Linked DNA regions of Caenorhabditis elegans. The protein of the gene in region 2 purifies or fractionates together with the protein of the main gene of each other region. This does not show direct contact. Each region holds a gene or a part of one and is shown on either strand. Other genes may lie near its edges. The genes, in order: zyg-1 and sas-6.

What was found.
Region 1: the proteins of sas-6 (region 2) and zyg-1 purify together in Caenorhabditis elegans (affinity purification with western blotting, with the first as the bait; one study listed by BioGRID). This does not show direct contact.

What each region holds. Positions count from the first base shown.
Region 1 is NC_003280.10:5,647,865-5,655,222, reverse strand, and holds zyg-1 (putative serine/threonine-protein kinase zyg-1), read right to left. Parts: upstream 5,476-7,358; 5' UTR 5,450-5,475; coding exon 5,417-5,449; intron 5,362-5,416; coding exon 5,269-5,361; intron 5,188-5,268; coding exon 4,372-5,187; intron 4,289-4,371; coding exon 3,921-4,288; intron 3,830-3,920; exon of another isoform or gene 3,785-3,829; coding exon of another isoform or gene 2,920-3,784; intron 2,873-2,919; coding exon of another isoform or gene 2,802-2,872; exon of another isoform or gene 2,789-2,801; intron 1,899-2,788; coding exon 1,524-1,898; intron 1,480-1,523; coding exon 1,251-1,479; intron 1,203-1,250; coding exon 996-1,202; 3' UTR 801-995; downstream 1-800. Other genes in the region: F59E12.1 (Bromo domain-containing protein), read right to left, coding at 30-487, 553-708; bli-2 (Nematode cuticle collagen N-terminal domain-containing protein), read left to right, coding at 2,802-2,872, 2,920-3,784; F59E12.17 (Anaphase-promoting complex subunit 13), read left to right, coding at 5,782-5,865, 5,939-6,094; sam-4 (BLOC-1-related complex subunit 5), read left to right, coding at 6,149-6,441, 6,488-6,695, 6,814-7,035; ddl-1 (WASH complex subunit homolog 3), read left to right, coding at 7,349-7,358. UniProt on the Caenorhabditis elegans protein: Protein kinase that plays a central role in centrosome duplication, control of centrosome size, spindle formation and nuclear envelope breakdown during cell divisions.
Region 2 is NC_003282.8:13,786,162-13,790,258, reverse strand, and holds sas-6 (Spindle assembly abnormal protein 6), read left to right. Parts: upstream 1-1,527; 5' UTR 1,528-1,549; coding exon 1,550-1,632; intron 1,633-1,677; coding exon 1,678-2,028; intron 2,029-2,081; coding exon 2,082-2,982; intron 2,983-3,112; coding exon 3,113-3,256; 3' UTR 3,257-3,314; downstream 3,315-4,097. Other genes in the region: Y45F10D.7 (Small-subunit processome Utp21 domain-containing protein), read right to left, coding at 134-284, 344-832, 878-1,041, 1,089-1,151; icap-1 (Integrin Cytoplasmic domain-Associated Protein homolog), read left to right, coding at 3,431-3,475, 3,536-3,661, 4,023-4,097. UniProt on the Caenorhabditis elegans protein: Central scaffolding component of the centrioles ensuring their 9-fold symmetry. Required for centrosome biogenesis and duplication.

The DNA.
Region 1 (7,358 bases), on a different chromosome or scaffold from region 2:
ATTTTGACAGATAAAATCCTGAAACTCACGCAGGCGTTGAATGTGTTGGAGTGAGAAACCCTCGAGACCCAGTTGTAACATCATCACCGGGAGGCTTGGTTGGAGGAAGAACAAGAGTTTCCAGATTCAAAGATCCTTCAGCTTCTAATCTGCCTGCGATAGCCGAGTCCAATGAACCAACTGTTCTTTTATAGGTCCCATCATTTCTGTGGCGTTCAGCACTTTGCTTCGCCATTTGCAAAATTTCCTGGAGTCTTGATTCGGAAATATCAGGTTTCAAAGCTTCTTGCATCAACTTTACATTATTTCTAACAGTAACCAAACCAAGTTCTGCCTGGGAGCTTCTTTGTTTGCGAACTTCTGTATTAAAGTGTTCAACCCATTTTTCCATCATAATCTTTCGACTGTAGACGAAAGTATTGGAAATACCAAGTCGAAGATTTGGTGTTGGAAGGCTCATGATACGTTCCAGCTCCTCGCGGCAAGACTGAAAAAAGAATTGCTTAGAGTGCATCGAAATTAGATGAGAAATTATTTGAAAAAAAGACTTACATTTTCAGTGAAGTATCCTGGGGGATAGTTATCCTTTGCATAAATATCTCTCATCGCTAACAATCGTTTGTCCCATTGCTGATGTGCTTGGCATACGGTCATCAGATTGAGTCGATCAACATCCTGCCAATGGCTTCTACCGAATCGGTAGGCCATCTAAAGATAATTAGCTTGAAAAAATTAGAAAAAGAGAGCATAGATAAAATAACTGGATGACGACCAGCTGTTTTTTTGAATAATTATAAACTAAAAGTGTATATTTTATGCAATCGAAAAAAAAGAAAAAGGTGAAAAGGGAAGTGAAGAAGAAAAATAAAGAGAATCATTAGAATGACTGAAGATCATTTGAAACTTGAATGTGTAGGATTAACAGAAAGATATGTGGTAAAATGTAGGAGCACATGAAGTAAGAGGAAAACTCATCGTATACTAAGTTATTACTATTATTGATGTAGTTTTCTCATACGTTCGCACAGCGTATGAAGCATTTCTGAAGCTCTGTCAGGTACTCGATCAGTTCGCATAAATCGTTGATCATCAGGACGAATCGCCGGATCTGTGAAAATGAATTGATCCGCTTTACTTGTGGAACATCGTAGCACACGACCGTCTGTTGCTTGAATTGATCGAACTTTTTGAGTTGTAGGGTCCTTCAAATAATACATTTATGCTTTACGGCTCTCAGATTGAAAACTTACAATTTTTATTTTATACTTTGATGGAGCCACACTAGGTGACGAATTTTCATCAGTTGATACCCTTCTCTGAACATTAGCCGATGATGCTCGTTGAGATGAAGTTGGTTTCGTAAGAAAAGGAGCCGAATGGGGAACTAATGATGGCTGATTGTTCGATAAATTACTAAATGGAAATCGGGAAGTTTGAGAAGATCCTGATGGCATTAATGAAGACGGCGAACTGCCAACCCTAAAATAAAGTTAGAGGGTCTTTGCCAAAAAATTCAAACTTACATATTAGTTCCTGCACTGAAAACAATGGGAAAGCACACCATTCCTCGATCCATTCCGTTAAGACATTGCTCGAATCTTATTAGATATTTATATACTTCATTCACTTTTGTAAGTGTTATTCCAGAAACTGCCTGTTTTTGGGTCGCGATTCCATCGATGCAATTGAAAATTTCACCATTATCCATTTTACGAACAATTACTGATCTCGGAAGTTTGATACGGAGATCTCCATTCTCCATAAGTTGAGCTTGAGCATCTGGGAATTGTGATGGACGTCGAAATGTTACTTTTGCTACTCGACCACTTATCGTCACAGCAACCATCTTTTGGAGACGCATATAATCGTTTTGGACTTCTTTTGGCATTTGGGAATATCTGAAAAAAGTTGTTATTGGTGATTTTTGAATTATTATGTATTTAAAGGTCAATTTTCCATTTTTCGATGTTTTTTCAGTGAAAATCTAAAAATGAAATAAATAGTTTATTTTTCTGTTTAGATGTAATTGTTGTTTATTCGAAGAAAAATCTTGTGACAAATGAAATATAATTGTTCAGCACATTATCCAATTTATTCATCAATCTCCTACAAGGTATCATATTCTCCTTTACTCTCATAATCTCAATTTTTTTGAAGAGAGATACATTTAGCTGCCAACACATCGCCATCCTCCCCATAAAGAGACACATTTTACAACCCAATGACCTACATACATATTCAATTATTAGCTCAATTAAGAAGGTATCAACACGTACGATACACGTACTGCTGTACTTTTATGATTATCCTTCCCTGTGGGAACCCTTTTTGAATAGATATTCAAAACCCCTACAACTTTCTATTCGCATTTATATTCTGAAAATGAATGATGGAGAAAAAGGTTCAAAAGAAAACATTATCATTTTTTGTAGGTTTTTTTTTTCAAAAATCAAAAAATTTTAGTTTCTCGATTTTCTGAAAAATCGAAAAACCGACACCCTTGCTCGGTACCTTTCCGATTTTTAATTCTCAAAAAAACACGAGATACGGGAGAAAGTGAAACAAGCTTAACGGAACGATAGATAAGATCTTGAATGATAAGATTTCGGCGGACCGAAAAAAAAACAACAGCAGTGGCTATTAAGGTGACGAGAAGCTATTGCGGATGAAAAAGTGCCCTATTTTGGAGAACTGAAGGCTTATTTCAGAAAAAGAAAAAAATATCGGAGATAAGCGAATAATATGTATAAAAGGGGTTCCGTCAGAAAGTAGAAGACATCTTCTCCTTTTAATTAGGAATTATGGACGAGAAGGAACTGAATCATGAAGCTTCTATGCTTCGAAAGGTTGCATTTCTCGGGATTTGCATCAGGTAATTGTTATATTTTTGTTATATTTTTAAAATTAATATAATTTCAGCACAGTATCAACTTTAACTTGTATTATCGCTATTCCTCTACTCTACAACTACATGCAACATGTTCAAACCAATTTGCACAGCGAAATTGATTTCTGTCGTCATAGAACAGTTGGATTGTTCATTCAATACGAAAGAATGCAATCCGCATCAGGAATCAAAGGAAGAAGAATTATTGTAAAGAAACAAGCTGGCTACGATTTCGCTGAATCGAATACAAATGCCGAGTCCGGATTCAGTAGCAGCAAATCCTCTTTGGCTCCAGGAGGACAATGCTGTTCTTGCAAAACCGGACCATCTGGACCACCAGGACCACCAGGAGAAGATGGACGGGATGGTAGAGATGGAAAACCAGGACTTAATGGAGAAGACGGTACAGATGCAAAGGATTCAGCTCCACGACGTGATGCAGCTGCACCATGTTACGATTGCCCTGTAGGGCCACCAGGACCACCAGGAAATATTGGATCAAAGGGACAACCAGGAAGAAACGGGAAAGATGGTCTTCCAGGAGTTCCAGGACTACCAGGTCAGCCAGGAGAACCAGGAGATGATGGAGAGCCTGGAGAGGATGGAGACCCAGGTCAGCCGGGAGATAACGGAGAGCCAGGAAAATGTGATGAAGTGAACGTTGCTCAAGGGCCTCCAGGAAGTCCGGGACCTCCAGGATTACCAGGACCTGACGGGCTGCCTGGAACTCCAGGAAATCCAGGACAAGACGGTGAACAAGGACCAGCAGGTGAGCCTGGAAGAGACGGGAAAGATGGTCAACCAGGAAGACCCGGACAGCCAGGACCACCGGGAGAACCAGGAACCGGAGGAGGATGTGAACACTGTCCAACACCGAGAACTGCTCCAGGATATTAAATTGTTCATTGTTATAATTATTGGCGGAATGAACGTTTTTAAAATAATTTCAGCTAAAAATTTAGAAAAGAAGACAAAATATGGTGTTACTAGTTTCTACAAACGTTTCCGTTTTTTAATAGAATAATTAACTTACGAAGTATAAACAAAAGGATTGTTCGTCAACGTAATCAATTCTTCTTCTCCATTTCTTCCGCGTACTGTTCTATCAGGTATTCGATGTACATAAACCGTTTGAACCATTTCATCAACTTCGACAATCAAAATTCGTTTAACGAAATTCCCTTGAGCTGCAACTTCAAACCGACAACGAGTATCCAATTCAACAATATATCGTCCTCCAGCAGTACAAACTCTTTGTCCTTCTAACCTATCCATTCGGATCGGCCACAACTGTGAACGGTTTCGATCTTCACGGCTTGGAGGTACGGTACCGCGGCCACTGTCTCTATCCCGTTCTCTTCCTCTCTCAGAATCAAATCCTCTTGAAGATGTAGAAGGCATCTAAAAATAAATTGTAATATATTTTTAATGCATTTAATTGTCAAAAATAAAATAAAATTTTTGTGATCTGCTGGAACACTTACCCTGTCATGAATTGGTCGATTGCTCAGCGGTGCTCTGCCAGAATGTGCAGGTTGACTCGAAGACCTTATCAGAGCTCTGCCATCTCGAGATCGATCATCTCTTGAGGATCTTACTGGTTCCCTCGATCTCTGTCGTCGTCCATCCCGCGAGTGTTCTCTCGAGAAGATTACCGCATTTTCATTCGTATTCTCGTACATGAACTCTGATAAAACTATCTGCGTTAACGGAATACGCTTCTTTGCATCTGTATCCATCATTTGTTCCACTAATCTAGCAGCATTTGGTGACATTCCGCAGGTTGGTGGTAGTCCTTTAGGTGGGGGATTACGAGCAGTGAGCATAGTATAGAGAACTGCACCAAGAGAATATACATCGGCAGACTGGGTATATTCTTGATCGTATACTTGTGGAGCAATGAATCCTGGTGTTCCGACAATTGTACATGTGGTCTCACCACGCCCAAGAGTGGTCGCGAGGCCAAAATCGCCAAGTTTAACCGTCATTTTCTTCTTTTTCGAGTCTTTGATGAACACATTACCAGCCGAGAGGTCTCGGTGAATAACATTCACCCTGTGCATAAAAGATACAGCAGAAATCAGCTGTCGTAAAACATGAACTGCTGTTGCGTCGTCCAGAGCTCCGTGCTCCCGCACATAAGCTTGAAGAGATCCTCCTTCGCACAACTCCATGACTATGTATGTATAACCATCTTCAACGAAATCTTCGTAAAACTCGACCACATATTTGCTTTTCTTCAATTCCTTCATCGTTTGAATTTCCGTCCAAACACGATTTTTTGGCACCTTTTTATCGATCTGAAAATACAATTTTTGTAAAGAAAAAAAGTAGAAAAATTGTCCCATTCGAATATCTTTAGAAAACAGCATGAAACTTACCCTCTTAATCGCCACCTTCTCTCCATTTTCTCTTTGTGCTGCATATACAACGCCGAATCCACCTTTCCCGATTTCTTTTAAATGTGAATAGGCCTGAAGAAAATATAGATTCTTACATGGTATCGGCAAAAATAGTAGAAATACCTACACTCAATCTTGAACCACTCTTCCCACCGCTCATCTCATAGTTGATCAACACTTGGTGCGCTAAAAATAAGATGAAAAAACACAAAAAATAGGAAAAATAAATTTGGAGTTTGAAAAATCCGTTTTGGCGGCCGAGGGACTAGAATTCATATTTCGGTCGTCTGTCAGTAGAGCGCAACTGTTCAGTTATCGGTTTTCTCTGCGTCTCTCGTTTCGTAATGTGTTCAAACTCAACGCGCTCTCCAGGTCTGCACAATTTTTCTTTTTATTCCTTTTTGGAGTTTTCCATTTATTTTAAACGTTTCCGATTAAAAATACATAAAATTATTGATTACAGGATAAGGAAACTTCGGAGAAAGCCATCGTATGTCGTTCGTCCCATCAGAAGTTCGACTTGATCACACATTTTTAGAGTGGGACAAAGAGTGGATATTCCAGCGTCTGCCAAAGGTTTGTGACAAGCTTTTCGAATAATTAAAGTGTAAAACCCGTAAGTATTGAAATTAAAATTATTCATTTTTAGACCGAGATTCAAATTCCGCGCGAGTTTGAGCCAGATATCGAAACCGACGCAATTCCCACCATTGCTCGTCAGCCCGCCGACCCAAACACTACCTGGAACGAGACTGGTTTGGATCAAATTCAAATGGGACCAACCATCAATAGTACAAAAAATTAAATCAAGGTTTGTGAAAGTTGATGTAATTTTTTAACTTCTTACACAAATTTTCAGATGGGAAACGAACAAAGCTCGTCAACAGCGGGCACATCATCTAATCCTCAAAATCAACAGTCGTCTTTTTCATTTCTCACTCGAGCCAGTACTAAACGATCAAAAGGCATTATCACGGTCAAAGATGGCAATATTCCTCAAGAAAAACTCGAAGATGATGAAATTTACAAAAGATTCACCGAAATTCCCCGTTTTTTGCCGGTGATTCCAGCCGTAATAGGCAAACGAGATCCACAAACGAATCAAGGAGCTTCTTACACTCATCAAAAAATCAGTTCGCGGCCCTTTTTTCGGTAAGATTTATTCCTTTTATTCAAAGTTTTAAAGTCACATATTCAGACTAGCAACACGATTACAAGAACATTTTGCCGTTAATGCGAAAGCAGTGGCAGCAGATCAAGCTAAAATTCCAGCAACTTGCAAGAGTGTTGAAGCGAAAATGATCAGACTTATTGAAGAAACAAGAGCTCATAAAGAACAACATGACGGTTTTATGGCTGCATTGAGCGGACTTAATCAATTGCACGATGACATCTGTAGTATTCAGGTGCGAATTAGAAAAAGAAACAATATTTAATGCATCATACCAAAATTGATTTTTAAAATGTTGCACCTTACATTTTTGCTCAAAAAACTTGCTCCGTTTATCAAAAATTAATTTTCAGATAATTCTTGAAGATATTGTGCCAATGGTTGAAACGCTTAATGAAATTCTAACTCCCGACGAACGTCTTCCTCCTCTTAATCTTGGCTCAGTGCTCGACAGATCTCCCGTTCCAAGCAGTGATAGCTCACTTCAAAGTACGCCCCGCCATAATCAAAATATTGGTCATATTGATCAAATTGAGCCGATTGAAGAAATCCGCGTAGTTGATCTACCAAAATAATTAATTTGTAAATTTTTATTCTCTTCTTGAATCTGTTGCCCTATCGCCCTTCCCAAAAAGTCTTGAAGGCTTTATCTCACTTTCTTCTCGCAATATCAAAATTCCATTGCCGTTTTGTGATTTTTTATTTAGTTCATGCACATATTTATCCGTCAATCCTATTTTGATTTCTAAATTTATCATAAATTCTAGTATTTTTCGCAAATTAATCTAATTAATTTACTTTGAATCTAACTTATATGGTTTGTGCCTTTTTCATATTTCCATTTCTTGTAATTAATTGCATCATTAATTAATTTTTAGATCACCAGCAATGAATGCGA
Region 2 (4,097 bases):
ATTTCAAAAAATCATATAAAATCAGGAAAAATTTTTTGAATTTTTTATCATGATATTCGGTCATTGTGACCCCATAGGCGTGTTTTGAAGCAATTTTCCCACTGGGCGCACTCCACCTTTAACAGGAAATTACCATGATAGGCTCCCCTGGAACAAAATAGAGACAATTAATCTCGTCAGAGTGAATTCCCGTGATTTTTCCGATTAATTCCTGCTTCTCGAGATCCCACACAGCCATTGTTCCGTTCTTATCGGCAGTTACCATTGTTGATTCGCCGTCGTCACTGAAAATATTGGAAATAATTTTTTTAAATAATATTTTTCAATTTAAAACACAACCCACCGAAAAGCGACATTAGTGATCTTTGCGTCATGTCGGAACGATGTGATGATCTTATCCATTTTCACATTGAAAAGCATCACTTCACCATTTTCCAGCCCTACAACTACCACATCTAAGGCAGTAGTTTGCTCGATAATTGTGATTCTCGAGTCGAAACTTCGCTGGAACTCATGAATCACTTTTCCAGTTCGGAAATTGATAATTTTCATTCGACCAGTGCTACTGCCGACCACGATTTTATTCAAATACGTGGATGGGTGACAGATTGCCGTTATTTCAAAATCGTCGGATCCTTCCATCAATAGGCTCATTTGAAGGCCTCCTTCTGATGTATCAATGACGTGGATTCCAGAAGAAATATCAACTGCGATCAGCTGAGTTCCGATTAATGTCATGATTTTGATCTTGGCGCCCAAGTCGATGGAATCTTTGATATCTCTGCAGAATGCTAGAGAAGTAATGTTGGTTCCGTGAGCAGCGAACACGCTCCTGAAATGATATATAATTATTTTTGCATTTTTCTAAACCGCTTACGTGCTAGAAGACGCGACTGCTGACACTTTATCGCTTAAAGGTTCCGACATTCCAATCGCACGAAGCTTTTTTCCATTGTATTGCATGATTACATTATCAATTGGGCACAAAACTGACAATGCCGACTTTTTTGCGACAAATGTTGAACGAATTGACGGGGCGACCTGGAAAAAATAAGTAATTTCACTTCAGATTCGGAAAAAAAGCTTACATCACCGGTTACCACACCCAAGAATCGATAAGGAGCAAAGAGCTCCGACTGGATGCGCTTCATTTGCTGGAAAAGCTGAAAAAGCTGAAAAATGAGATAAATTGTTAAAAAACGGGATAAGTGGCTCACACAAGAAAAAAACGACGTAGGATTGTAGAAATGATTGAAAATGCGGGAAACTCTCTATTTTCCCTTATTAAATCTTCAAAAATGTGAAAATTTGACGGAAAATGGGCTGAAATGGGGAATTTTAGTTTGTGAAAAAAAAAAGAAAATGCGATTTTTTGTTAGGCGTAGTTTACAATGTTTTGTCCGCAATTGCCAAGTCCGCAATCGCACACCGTAGTCCCATAGAGCGCGCCATCTCAAATTTATTGTTTTTGCGCAAATTTTTTATTCTTCATTTTCTGCTGTTTTTTCCTATTTTTAACATAATTTTTTTCAGATTTTCTCCCACAAAAATGACTAGCAAAATTGCATTATTCGATCAAACACTCATCGCCTCACTTCTACAGCCGTTGAGCCTAAATCAACCGGATTTTAAGTAAGAAAAGGGAGCAAACGATTTTCAAAAGTAACAGAATTTCAGGGCATACAAAACAAAAGTTAAGCTGAAAATATCAGAGCAAAGGAACGAAACCAGTGGAGAAAAGGAGCTAAAATTCGAAATCAGCCGCTCCGATGATTTTGAATTTCTATTCTCGGAAACGTTGAACAACGAGAAATATCAGATTTTGGCTCGAGATCACGATTTAACAGTGGATTTCGATGCTTTTCCGAAAGTTATCATTCAACACTTGTTATGTAAAAATATTGTGAAAAATTTGGAAGAAGATGGGGAGGTTGATGCACGGAAAAAAGCAGGTTATCATAGTATTGCTGATCCAGGAAAGCCGACGGAAATCAATATTATTTTGGATGCCGAGAAGAATTTTTGCTCGTAAGGGAAATAGATTACCTAATATTGAAATTTAATTTTTTATTTTCTTCCAGATTTGAGCTATTCTCGAAGACTCCTATTTCGAAAGGAAAAATCTTTTCCATCAAGCTTCACGCAGTCCGCGGAGATCATTTAATTTCACATCTTCTGAAAATTTGTTCCAGTCAAGCAGTGAAACTCTCCACTTTTTATAAATCTGCAGATGAGCTAGCAAGCCTACGGCAGAAATGTGGAGATTTGGAAAAACAAGTTGAAAAACTGTCTGGTGTGAAGGAGGAATTCGAAGAAATGTCAGAAAAGTTTAAAGAGCTGGAAGATGAGGTGGAGCTGGTGAAAGAGGAAAGAGAGAATATTCGATTATTAGTTGAGGATAAAGAAGATGAAGTGGCTGATTTGAAACAAGACACGGAGTCGCTGCAAAAGCAATTGGAAGAAAATCAGGAGGAGCTGGAGATTGTTGGAAATATGTTGAGAGAAGAACAAGGAAAAGTGGATCAGCTTCAGAAACGAAATGTGGCTCATCAGAAAGAAATTGGGAAGCTTCGAGCAGAACTTGGCACGGCTCAACGGAACCTGGAGAAGGCCGATCAGCTGTTGAAGCGAAACTCCCAACAACAGAATCAACAAAGTCTGGATATGAGAAAACTAGGAGAGCTGGAAGCTGATTTGAAGGAAAAAGATTCGATGGTTGAGAGTCTCACTGAAACTATTGGAATCTTGAGGAAGGAGCTGGAGAACGAGAAATTAAAGGCCGCCGAGAATATGGATAGTTTTGAGAAGCTGAGCATGGAGAATGAGAATCTTAAAGAAAAAATTGCCCATTACCGAGCCCAACGGTTTAGTCCAGCTCCTTCTGGGCTTCCCGGGCTTCAGACCGGACTAACAAATAGGCTTACACCATCATTCAAGCCTGTTCTTGGACCCCACACTCCATATGGAGCTAATTTGAACTCGGTTAGTAGAAGTTCTACGAAATGAGCTACATTATCGATTTTTCCGGCAATTTCCAATTTTCACACAATTTTTGAGCATTTTTCCGAACTGTTTCAACTCAAAAAAATATTTTAATTTGTTCAAATTTCAGCGCACCCCATTCCGTGACAATACAACTCTTAATTTCCAAAATTCGACAATTGCAACTCCTCATGCTTTTCGTTTCAACAGTCAACTAATCGCCGACGAGACTACTGGTTCAAGTGTGACGAACACCCCACCCGCTCAACGATAAAATCTTTTTTATTGATTTTTTCTTGTCCTTTACTTGAAAATAAAACTCTGCTTATTTCATTGAGATTTCTAGGCCACCGCCAGCACTTCAAATGGGGAAGGTTTTTATCAGTTGGGAGTCCTCCGCAAACATTATGACGCCAGAAACTCGCTTGAACATTTTTCAAAAAAAAAAATGACAGACCCGAAAATTTCAGCATTATACGTGGCAGTTCAAGAGGTAAGGAATTTTTTAAAGTTTACTAGGTTTTCTTCAGAAAAAAAACATTTAATTTTCCAGATAAATTCTCTAATTCAAAATGGAACGTCTTGCAGTCGATCTCTCGAGGAAAAAATTGTTGAGCACTTGGAAAATAGCCAACTTTTAGGGAAATTACCGAAAAACAACGGGGATTCTCATGAGGAGGTTGGGAATATTACACAAACGCAGAATTTTTGTCGGTCTCGACACGACACAGTTATTTGCAAAGGGTTGTGTGCCTTTAAAGAGTAAATACTGTAACGTGTAATTCTTGTTGTTGTATCGATTTTCTTTTTGTTTTGTTTTTCGATAAAAAAATATATTTTACAAGAAAACAGTTATTAATCGTTGGAAAATCAGTGAAAACTCACAAAGTTTCAAATTACAGTAGTCTTTAAAGGCGCACACCATTTTTTTTATAGTTAACAAAAATTTGTCGCGATGAGACCCAAAACCGTAATTTTGGTGTAAAATCGCAGAAGATCCCGTTTTTTGTTGAAATATAATTAAAACTTTGAATTTTAAGGTTTACATGGAGGTCACCAAGCACGGACTTCGGATTTCTTCGAGAAGAACACGATTAGTGAAACTGAGGATTCCA